Danio rerio: one gene and its partners. The protein of the gene in region 2 interacts with the protein of the main gene of each other region in a pairwise test. Links are inferred from orthologs where the notes say so. Each region holds a gene or a part of one and is shown on either strand. Other genes may lie near its edges. The genes, in order: dazap2, poli and rev1.

Region 1 (3,657 bases), on a different chromosome or scaffold from region 2:
TGATAAAATTAAAAATAAAGCATTTCCATAGTATGTTTTAAATTATCCTTTGAGTAAATGTCTATGAGTGAGTCCTGAGCGTCTGATATGGCATCTTGTGTAAACAACCTCATCATGTCTTTTCATGTCATTCAGATTTCTTCAGATTTCTAAAAGTTTTCATCATTGTGACCCTCAAGCATAAACTGAGCTTGACTAATATAATGGAAATCTCATTTGGCTGATAAAACACATCATGTTTAGGGGACATATACTCACCGGAATGGAACTACCAGTGCCAGGCCCGAAGCGAGCTCCAGCATCAAATCCACCATCCACCATGACAGTGGAGCCAGGAGGGTACACGGGCCCCATCGGATAATACGCCATCGGGACACTAGAAGCCATGGCCCCCATTGGCACAGTCTGGGCATGCATGGGCATGTACATCTGAGTACCAGGGTAAGCAGAGGTCATCTGGGGCATTTGTCCAGGGGCTGGAGGGGGAGCCATATATCTGGGCTGATAAACCTGCAGGTAGGAGAGAAAACTATTTCAAACATTTGTGTAGGTGATAACAAAAAGTGTATAATTCACACTTAATATCAAGACTTCAATTGTTTTAATTGAAGTTAATTAGACTAATGAAAGACAATGGCATTTTAAATCTTAGTTTTGATTGTTTAGAGCAGAGGTGCCTAAAGTAGGGCCAAAGTTGGCCAATGGTAACCTTTGGTTTAGCCCCATCATCCCATCTGAACAGTAATGACGGTGAGTTGGTTGGGGTGAATGCCTTAGTTTCTTTGTTTAATTGAGTAGCTACCAAAAAAAAAGCCAACTAAAATGAAATGTTTCATATAAATGTTGTAAATGAATCAGACTTTTACTGCCACTTGACAGATAAAAGACAATGCACAAGACATCGGCAAGCAAATCAAGACAAAGGCCGAAGTAGCTCCACTAGTGTATTCAGCATTGAACACCATTGTCTAATAACTGGGATTGTTTGTTTTAACTGTAATAAGTTTATTATAACATGTTAAATCTGATACTGCATGTTTAAAAATGTTTAAAAGCAATGTTTTATTTTTATTTTTAAATATTAGCAAATCAATTAGGAAGTTTTCCATGGCAAATGTAATGTAATACAGTTTGGTATTTTTAACTTCGACCCACAGCCCTCACACCCCATTTACACGGGGCGTCAGCTGCAACGCTTCCCATTCACTTTGAATTAAGTAACATCAGGTGTTGCCGAACTGCATTGTGGACTCTTCGCTCAACATTTCAAGTGCCGACGGAAGCCTTAGCCAATCAGATCGCTGTATGCAAATACACCAGTTTAGACAGTGGCCTATTGCTGACTAATTTCATTGGCTGACGCTGCTATGATGATCGCATCAGCCCCAACTTCAGACACACCCTCTGTCAAGCGTTGACGCTGAAGCCCTGTGTGAATGGGGCATCAGTCAAGGTTTTGGGCCTTTTATAAGAAAAGTGTGTTTAAGCACCTCTGGTTAAGAGTTTAGTGCCTGCCATGACTATTAATTTTTAGAAATATCTAAATTAAATAAATAAATAAAACAAACAAATAAAGATCTGGTGTCACTAGGCATGGGACATTAACCGTTTTCAACGTTTACCGCAGTTTGGTAGACACCGTCAATTTTTTGCTATACCGTTCCTAAGGTATTTGTATGATTTTTTTATTTATATATATATAAATATATATATATATATTTTTTTTAGAACAACCATATCTCCAGCAGAAAAGATGTCCAACGTTGCTATTTTAAATGGTTAAAAAAATCAGTGTTTTGAAACAATTGAAGACAGCAGAGGTCAAGGATTCATTTAAACTATTCAGTCTGACATGTTTACTGCTCCAAAATATTAAGTGTTTCTCAAAATACCATATATTGTGTTCAAAGGGGAACCCAAACATTTAAAAGAATATATTTTAAAGCAGTAATGTCAATACCGTATTACAGTAAAACCGTGATATTTTTATCCAAGGTTATCAAACCGCCAGAATCTTATACCGGCCCATGCCTAGGCGTCACTTGATTAAAAATCACCTGAAAAACAAAAATGCCTAAATAAGATGTCCCAATCCCTCAAAATATACCCATATTTACTCATTTACATTTAAAAGTAAATTCATACCTCTTGATATTATGCATCACTCATGTACTGAGAACTGTAATGTAATGTGTTTTTTATTTAACGCCATGTTAGCAGCCAAGTCTATTTTCATGGCAAGAACATTTCAATAATAAATTTACAATTAAAAATCAACAAACAAATGAATATATACATTAAATACATTTTTACTTGATAAAAATGTAACATTTTTCCTGGTGTCACTTTGCTAAAAACGTCCTTTAGAGATTTAAATACATAAAAAAGTCTTCGGGAATCAAGAGGAAAAATGTATTTGAATGTGAGAGGAATTGCAGTATAATATACTGCGGTACAAACATTGAGTAGGGTCTTCACCTTTAAGCAAAAAAGCATGGGTTATTCTTGTACAGTTAAAGTCAGAATTATTAGCCCCCCTGGATTATTAGCCCCCCTGTTTATTTCTTTCCCCAATTTCTGTTTAACGAAGAGAAGATTCTTTTTTAACACATTTCTAAACATAATAGTTTTAATATCTCATTTCTAATAACTGATTTATTTTATCTTTGCCATGATGACAGTTAACAATATTTGACTAGATATTTTTCAAGACACTTCTACACAGCTTAAAGTGACATTTAAAGGCTTAACTAGGTTAATTGGGTTAACTAGGCAGGTTAGGTTAATTAGGCAAGTTATTGTAAAACTATGGTTTATTCTGTAACTATCAACACAAAAATAAATAAATGGCTTATAGGGGCTAATAATATCGAAAATGGATTTTAACAAATTAAAAACTGCTTTGATTCTAGCCGAAATAAAACAATTAAGACTTTTTTCAGAGGAAAAAAATATTGAGACATGCTGTAAAAATTGCCTTGCTCCGTCAAACATCATTTAGAAAATATTTTTTGAAAAGATTAAAAATTAAAAGAGCTAATAATTCTGACTTCAACTGTATGTCCAATACGACATCTGGGAAAAATCACCAAATCTAGTCTTAAAACTCTGTTTGAGGTTTCAGGTTGTATTTTATACAATTGATTTGTTTATGCATCCCACACTTTACTGTGAACACAAACAATTTTACATTAAAAAATAGCATAAAAAAGATTTTTTAAATAATTATTCTGCACACACCTGTAAATATTAAGTAAATTGTAAGTTGCTTTAGACAAAGGCATCTGCCAAATGCCTAAATGTAATTAGTTAACAAATGAGATGATGCTGTGACATGCTACTGAACTGATAAACAGAAATTCAATTCTGCAGTTGTATAAAGTCTAAATTTATGATTAGTACAATGTATTCATCAATCATTGGTATTCATTACTATTTATTTTTAAATTTACAATTAAATGTTATTTTATCACTGCAGTTTTAAATTAAGGTTTTAGAAACAACTCATAATAAAATCGCTGTATTGACTTGCCCCTTTTTATCTGTTATAACTGTCTAGAATATCTCTTACCAATGGGAATTTGGCATTGACTAATTCTTTGCTAAATCTGCCCTTGTCCTTCTAAATGGCAGCTCTTGCATCACAGAAAATGATTC
Region 2 (3,657 bases):
ACATATGCTGAAATAGTTGGCGGTTCATTCCGCAGTGGCGACCCCTGATAAATAAGGGACTAAGCTGAAGAAAAATGAATGAATGAACGTTTTTTGTTGCTTTAATTACAAGTAGATACAATACTTTTTTGCTCTTACATTAAAAACCAAAGATCAAAACTTCTGCTAAATGAGTAAATGCATATTGTTGTAAACCCATCCTAAAACATATCCAATATTAAATCTGTCCCGTTAAGACTGCTTCATTTTTACCTGAATAATCATAAATGTGCAGAATACCTGAGGAGGACCCGCTGGAGTCACTGGAGAATCATCAATCCCACAGGCGAGGTTTTGGATCCTCTTAGCGTTCATCTCTCCAAACTCTTTCACCAGATCGGACAAAGGGTACAACTGTAGATCTCTCACATTAACCAAACCCAGAGCCTTCAGCTTCTCACGTGTCTTGTAACCAATCCCTGTAATAATCCATAATAATGCATTTATTTGTATTGCACTTTTTATTAAAGCTCTACAGTAAAACTAAACACATTATAAAAAAATAAAAAAATATGAGAACAATTACAAACAAACTTAAGGCATAGTTTACCCAAAATATTTAATTATGCCTTTACTCATCCTCCACTTGTTCTAAACTGCTTTGAGTTTCTTTCTTCAGTTGAACCCAATCAAAGCTATACTGACAAATGCTAGAATAAAACAGCCATTGACTTTCATAGTATATTTTTTATACTATGAATGTCAATTCCAACATTCTTCAGAACATCTTGTTTTGCGTTTAAAAGGAGATAGAAATTTCATTACAGTTTTTAACCACTTTAGAACTACCAGAAATTTGAACCTTCACTTCAAATAAATGCATCCTAATTAACTTTTTAAAATGATCAAAAGTTGAAGCACTTCTGGTGTTAAATGGAAATGCATTCCAGAATTTTCAGGCTTGAAGTAAAAATACAATCTTTCTCCCATAAGTTTACATGGAGACAGAGTGAATGAGAAGGACTATAAAAGAGCAAAGACACTCAGGTGAAGCTCTATGTAGTGCTTTATGTATTATTATTATTAATCATTTTTATTTAAATGCACTTCAAACTAAGGAAAATCCTAAAGTGCTAAAAAAAAAAAAAAACTTGAAAAAAAGCAAAACAATTGGATCATTGTATGAAGCTAATTGGGTGATTGTTGAAAATAATCTGTAGTAATATGTATGGGACGAAGACAGTTTTTATTTTTTAATTAATGGAATTGTCGTGGGTCTTGCTATTATGTAATTGTTGTATGATTGTATTTGTCACCAGTGTTAAAGACAAATTTACTTTCTGTGTCAAGCAGAACAGACAATAAAGTTTATTCCATCAAACAAACAAACAAACAAACAAACAAACAAACAAACAAACAAGTTAAAATCAGCTACCAACTGAGCAGAATGGGCAAAGTTTAATCAAACAAACAAAAAAAAGTTAAAGCGAAGTTAAAATCAGCTACCAACTGATTTACTCAAATACTTAAATAAATTTAGACATTAAAAAACGTCTGTCGAGGGTATGTTTTTAGACCCCATTTAAAACCAGCAGATGTTTATTGAGCCCTCAGATGTTTAGGAGGAGCACTCCAAATTATGTATAAAAATGAATTCATTAGTCCCTTATTTATCAGGGGTCGCCACAGCGAAATGAACCGCCAACTATTCCAGCATATGTTTTACATGGCTGATGCTGATTCAGCCGCAACCAAGTGCTGGGAAACACACATACACTCTTGCATTTACACACATACAAGCCAATTTAGTTTATTCAATTCACCGATAGCACATGTCTTTGGACGGTGATGGAAACCGAAGCACCCAAAGGAAGCCCACGCCAACACAGGGAGAACAAGCAAACTCCACACAGAAATGCCAACTGGCCCCAGCCAGGACTCAAACCAGGGACCTTAGTGCTGTGAGGCGACAGTGGTAACCACTGAGCCATGTCTTAAAATAAGAACTTTAAAATCAATTCTAGCATTGATAGGTAGCCACTGAATGGGTGAGTTTCTGTGTGATGTTACCTGGCACTTTGATGAGTCCTGTAAGGCTGCTCATGAGTTCAGCGGTGCTGTGAGGCAGGAGGGTGGTCTGCTGGTTGGGTTTAAAGCTGCCTGACACCAGCTTGGCTAATAGTTTGTTGCTAGCGACACCAGCACAGCCAGTTAGCCCCAGTGTGCTGAAGATGGCTTGCCTCATCTCAGCGGCAATCACAGAGCCGACAGCCAAACGAATGTTCTCCTCATCAACCACAACACCTGAAGATCAGCAAGATGATTTAGTATGACAAGAAATTATAGTAGTTCATTATAAACTATACAAGGAAAAGCGTAAGTTCAACTCTTCTAGATAATTTATTGCATTTATAAAATCTGAATCAGCAAACTACGAAATACTAGGCTAGATCTGTCACTAATGTTTGATGAAAAGGAGTTTAACATTTTTTATATTAAGCAGTGCTCCAACAACTCACTTTCATGATTGTATACGTGTCCATTGAAGGAGAGATCTGAAATACGGGTCTCCTTTATTCGTTTCTCCACCATTTCTGTAACGTCCATGAAGTTCTCATCAAAGCCCAGCCGCTCCACTAGAGGGCAGTACGACATCAGCAATTCTTGGGCAAACAAAGTCATTGTCAGTTTTTTAAGGCATTGTTGTATGCCTTAAAAGTATAGTTCACCCTAAAATGTACTTTATTAAGGCGTTCCAACCCTTCATGAGTATCTTTCTTATGTTAAAAACAATAGAAGATATTTTGAAAAAATCACTAGAGGAAAAACAAATTCAATGGAAGTGAATGGTTTCCAGATTTCTTTAAAATATCTTCTTCTGCAGTCAACAGAAAAAAGGCTATGTTTAGAACAAGTAAGGGTGAGTAAATGATGGCAATTTAATTTTTTGGGTGAACTATGCCTTTAATACACAGATTTAATATGTGTACTTAAAAATACCTAACTTAGTGTTACACAAAGATACTAGCAGGGTTCATACACATTTTTTACTACAAAAATTCTATGACAATGTTTTTTGTAATGTCTACATATACATAGTAAATAATAAGACAAACAATATTCAAATTTTTCACAGCAAATTATAGAACACGCAACAATCTATTTTGTTTAAATTTCTTTTTATATCCATGTAAAATTGATTTTGATAATGCTTACACAGCACTAACAATGTGAGAGCATATTTTTGGCCAAGTTAGGGCTGCATGATATACCGTTTCAGCATCGATATTGCAATGTATGCATCCACAATAGTCACACCGCAGGATATGCAATGTTGGGATTATAGTTTAATATAGTTAAATTGTAATGGAGTAAAAGTTTATCATCTGCTTGCATTTTTAAAGAAAAAGTTCACCCAAAAATTACTTTCCATTTTTGAGTTTTTTTCACAATTATTTCACAAAAAGAATATAATTGAATAACTCCTATAGTATTGGAATAAGTGAAGTGTGAGTAAATAGTGAGTAAATTTTAATTTTTGAGTAAACGGTCCCTTTAAGGCCTGTGACTGTGTGAACATTTCAATATTTCAAATTTTAAAACAACCGGCCACAAGAAAATTTTTGTAACTTTAATAAACATTAAATAATATATAATGAAGACTATGCCATGTTGATT
Region 3 (4,300 bases), on a different chromosome or scaffold from region 2:
TTTAGCTGGTCAGGCAATAAGGCCAGCTGTGCACATGGTCGACTTTGCTTTAAAAGCAGGTCTGGACATTTTAAGGTATTGATGACTGAAATATGCTTGTGTATTAGTAGCATCAGATACTCTAAATAAGAAAGCTTTACACACTTTAAAGATTTGTGAACTATAATATATAGTGCTCAGCATAATTGAGTACATCACATCTTGAAAGTGAATATTTGAATCCATTGTATCTGTATCCATTTCTCAGTGAGTTTTGGTGCATTTAAACAAAACAGATTTATCAAACAGATATATTTATCAAAGTAATATTTTAGTTACCAAACATATTTAGAAATTCAAAGATAATAAAATTAAATTCATGCAAAATATTGCAAAAAAAAATTACAACCTACAAAATTTTAACAAAATATTTTCAATTTTTTTTGCTTCTCTTGATTTTTCCTCTTTTAAAATTTGTATTCATTATTTTTCTCTAACATATAAAATTGGGTGTACTCGTTTCTGGTCCGTTATCATAAGTTATATTGTTAGATAAACTCCAGATTTAGCTTCAGTACTGACTAATCTAATATATATGCACAAATATAATATTGTATAGCTTCCTATTAAACATCTGAATTTAAAAGATATTAGGTGTACTTATAAATGCTTAGCACTGTAACTATTTGATTTATTACTTATGTACATTCTGTATATTTGTGTTATGTTTATACCCCCTGGCATGTATGTCTTTGTACTTGTAAAATGTTATATGCTGTCCTTTTAAAGAAACAAAAGGAAGCAGATTTTTTCGTTTTATTTTACGATATTTGTCATTGTTTACAGTAATGGCTGTTATATTCCGATATATCTTTAGATTTTTAGTTTATTAAATGTAATCAGTTGCAATCTGCAAAAATGCATTGCACAGCAAAGTAATAAAGTGGATATGCTATTGCACATTTATTGTGCTAGACAGTAAGTGTTTTCAGTTTGATTGTCTGAGGTGCCACTGTGTCTGTAAATAGCATAAAAAACAAATAAAATAAAAGTGGCTGGGAGACATCCATTATCGTTCAATTCCTCATTCTATAGTTGTGTTTTATTTTGTTAACTCTAAAATACTACACTTTATTAAAATAATTGCAGCAAAGTATTGTGACTATAATAAAGCATGGAAATATTATCTAAACATTAAAGGTTTGAAACCGTGTGCATTGTGAATAGTGCTATATTATAAGCAAAAGAGACACAACTTATTCTTTATTCAGGGTTTCAGATGTATTATTTCTTATTAAGAGTCACTCATCTGCATACTAATAAATGAGTGCAAAGAGGAGAACAGATGTGCGTGCTTGTTTTTTGTTTTCCGTGTCTATTTTCAGCCACTCACGCTTTCAGTTTTGGGCTCATTCTTTTGAATTGTTGTCTTTTAGGTCCCTCAGTATGAGTCGAGATGGATGGAGGAAGAAAGCCAGTGAAAATGATGGGTGGGGAGGACAGGTAAGAGTTTAGTTATTTACGCAGAAATGTGTTTATTGAGAGCAGGAAAGGCTCAACAGCTGTTTTATCTCAGAGCTGAATCGTCTTCGTATATATCCCGTGTTGTCTTTGCTATCTGTCTTTGTAAAAACTGAACATTATGTAAATAATAGAACTTATCCATAGATTTCCTTTTAACTATTAATTGCCTTTCTGCTGTTTGTACATCACCCATCATGCTTTGTGTGTGTGTTGCTGCTGAAGTCTAGACAGATTTTCATTTGTATTACACCAGTGAGTAATCTCAATTTTCTTCACTGCTGACCAGCACCTCTGCTCAGTCGCCACAGTCCAGACCCAGCTAGAGATTTGACAAGCTTCGGCATCTTCATGTTCTTCAGGCATTAGCAGAACCACACTAATATAAACAACTCCACAAGCTTCTGTCTTCACTAATAAAATAACAATCTTAGTTCTAACCAGTAGAACTGTTTTACCGCACAATTTGAGACCAGAAATGTGTGATTTTTAAGTAAATGTACTATGTATTTTACTGTGTAAGTGTGATTAAACACAGAAATAGGCTTCTGACAATATAATTTTTTGTTGCAATTAATTGCTGAAGGTTTTATGATGATGTATAGTATTATTGACCTAAGCTGCAAAAATATATTATAACCAAAATATTTGATTGCTTTATTGTCTATATACATGTTCAGAATAAATGAATGTTTTAAGCCAATTAAATTGTAAATGGAAGATAGGTACAATAGGTAATACTTTACAAAAAAGTACCATTAGTAAATGTTAATCAATGCATTAAAATCTACTGTAAAAATGCATTTTATATATTAAAGTTAATTTAGAAAAATATAGCTGAAATTTATTAGCTGTTATCGCACTGCTGTCTGGAATGCTTGATTTTGATTGGCCAATCTCAACATTCTGAGCTGAGGTAAAAAATCACTGAAACTAATAATACAGGCTCATCCATGTATTTGAATCATCCTGACTGTCAGTTAATACGATTGCTTCTGAATCATTTGCATGTCTGTCTCTGCTATTGTTTTTGATGGTTTGGCAGCATTTTGTGAGTTAATAGTACATACTAGGTCAGTGTATGCACCTTTCAGCTGGTTTTGTTTCTATCAGCTTCATCTTTATTAATTTATTATGGCTCAGAAAATGTTTAATGTCTAATTTTGACATTTATGGCAATAGGCATTTAAAAAGCAGGATAAACTACATTCATTTAGTTGTTTTAGCAGCCCAAAAAAGCCATACGCTTGCTCATTCATCCAATCATACGCTATGGCCAATCATATCTACCTATACTATACCGCATGTCTTTGGATTGTGGGGGAAATGAGAGTGTGCAAACTCCAGCTGGGACTTGAACCAGGCATCTTCTTAATATGAGTTGAAAGTGAGCCACCTTGCAGCCCTAGTTAATAACTCCATTTAATAAAAAGATGACTACATTTGATTTTAATGCATTATTAGGTGTTCGCTAATAAGTTAATGTCCCTTTAAGGCAAGTCATTTCACTTAGCGGCCTTGTTTGAAACGCCTCTTGGGCTGTATTTTCGAGCATTCCATCTGAATGGAGAAACATCAAATTTTTCAAAATTGTTTGCCAAGCTTATAATTATATTACATATTTGGAGTCAACAGTAAAATTAAACAACAGTTGTTTCATAAGTTTCGTTTCTAAACGTCTGAATTAAACAAAATCTGCATATTTTCAAGTTGCCAGAGCTAGTGCGCATGCAAACTCGAAAGGAATGAGATCACAACACCAACCTCATTTACGGCAGTGTTACACATCACACAGTGTTGTCCTCTGGATAATGATCATGTAGTCGCACTGGTCATCTGAAATAATCCACAGCTTGGTCTTGATAGCAAATCTTCTCCAGTAGTGAAATCGATTCTATGTTTACACTTTGAGTAATTGCTGTCTCATGATGTGTGTTTGACAGGACTGACTGTACTTCACATTCGTTTATACTGGAGACACGTCAGTCTATAGAGATTTGATGATTAGCTCCTGTACTAGTAGGCGGGGCTTCATTCGCCATATTGACTGTAACACTTTTCTCCATTCAAAACTATACGAGTGACGCATCTTGTGTATTCTATAGTCTTTGCCTAAGGTTAATCAATGCTTTTATATCATTACATTGACTGTAGTTAGGTTAGCTGACGTTGAATGGAAGCTGATCATAAATTGTCTATTAAGGCTTGAAGCGTTTGGTGCTGTGATGTACACTGCAGTGCAGATACAACAATATAAATATCCTTTAATGGTAATCTGAAAGTTGAAATTCTAAATAATTATTTACATTATTTTAAAAACCCACAGCATCAATATATTGTGCACGTTCATGATCACAGTGTATGGCATTATTGGACATCAGCATATGTCTACGCAAAACCTTTATTTGCTTTAGGTTGTGTGTGTGTGTGTGTGTGTGTGTGTGTTGATCTCTCAGAGTGTTGTCTCTCAGGTGTGTTGTTGTTGTGTGTGTGTGTGTGTGTGTGTGTGTGTGTGTGTGTGTGTGTGTGTGTGTGTTGATCTCTCTGATTGATATAAATTAGGTTCAGGGATGCCTCCAGCAAGTGAGTGTTTTCAGGAGTATTTTTCAGTGTGTGTGAGAGTCTGTTTATTGGTTCAAGCTCAACTCTTGAATCCCAGCGTTCCCTCCGTTGCCATGGAGACAGAGAGTCGCCGTGCCAGCAGGGCAGACTTGCACCTCCAGTCTCATTGAATGTCTGAGGCGTAATCAAACGCTTGTCAGCCAGACGCTGCACATTTTCCTTTGTGTGTGTGCCTGTA

The links.
Region 1: the proteins of poli (region 2) and dazap2 interact in binary tests that used the Homo sapiens proteins (3 or more experiments, as listed by UniProt). The two-hybrid records come from large-scale screens. The link is inferred for Danio rerio from reciprocal best matches to the Homo sapiens genes POLI and DAZAP2.
Region 3: the proteins of poli (region 2) and rev1 interact in a two-hybrid assay, tested with the Homo sapiens proteins (2 studies listed by BioGRID). The link is inferred for Danio rerio from reciprocal best matches to the Homo sapiens genes POLI and REV1.

Annotation. Positions count from the first base shown.
Region 1 is NC_133198.1:36,680,222-36,683,878, reverse strand, and holds part of dazap2 (DAZ-associated protein 2), read right to left. Parts: intron 511-3,657; coding exon 259-510; intron 1-258. UniProt on the Homo sapiens protein: In unstressed cells, promotes SIAH1-mediated polyubiquitination and degradation of the serine/threonine-protein kinase HIPK2, probably by acting as a loading factor that potentiates complex formation between HIPK2 and ubiquitin ligase SIAH1.
Region 2 is NC_133180.1:19,644,797-19,648,453, forward strand, and holds part of poli (DNA polymerase iota), read right to left. Parts: intron 2,643-3,657; coding exon 2,499-2,642; intron 2,284-2,498; coding exon 2,050-2,283; intron 459-2,049; coding exon 280-458; intron 1-279. UniProt on the Homo sapiens protein: Error-prone DNA polymerase specifically involved in DNA repair. Plays an important role in translesion synthesis, where the normal high-fidelity DNA polymerases cannot proceed and DNA synthesis stalls. Favors Hoogsteen base-pairing in the active site.
Region 3 is NC_133184.1:23,410,422-23,414,721, forward strand, and holds the start of rev1 (DNA repair protein REV1), read left to right. Parts: upstream 1-1,425; coding exon 1,426-1,482; intron 1,483-4,300. UniProt on the Homo sapiens protein: Deoxycytidyl transferase involved in DNA repair. Transfers a dCMP residue from dCTP to the 3'-end of a DNA primer in a template-dependent reaction.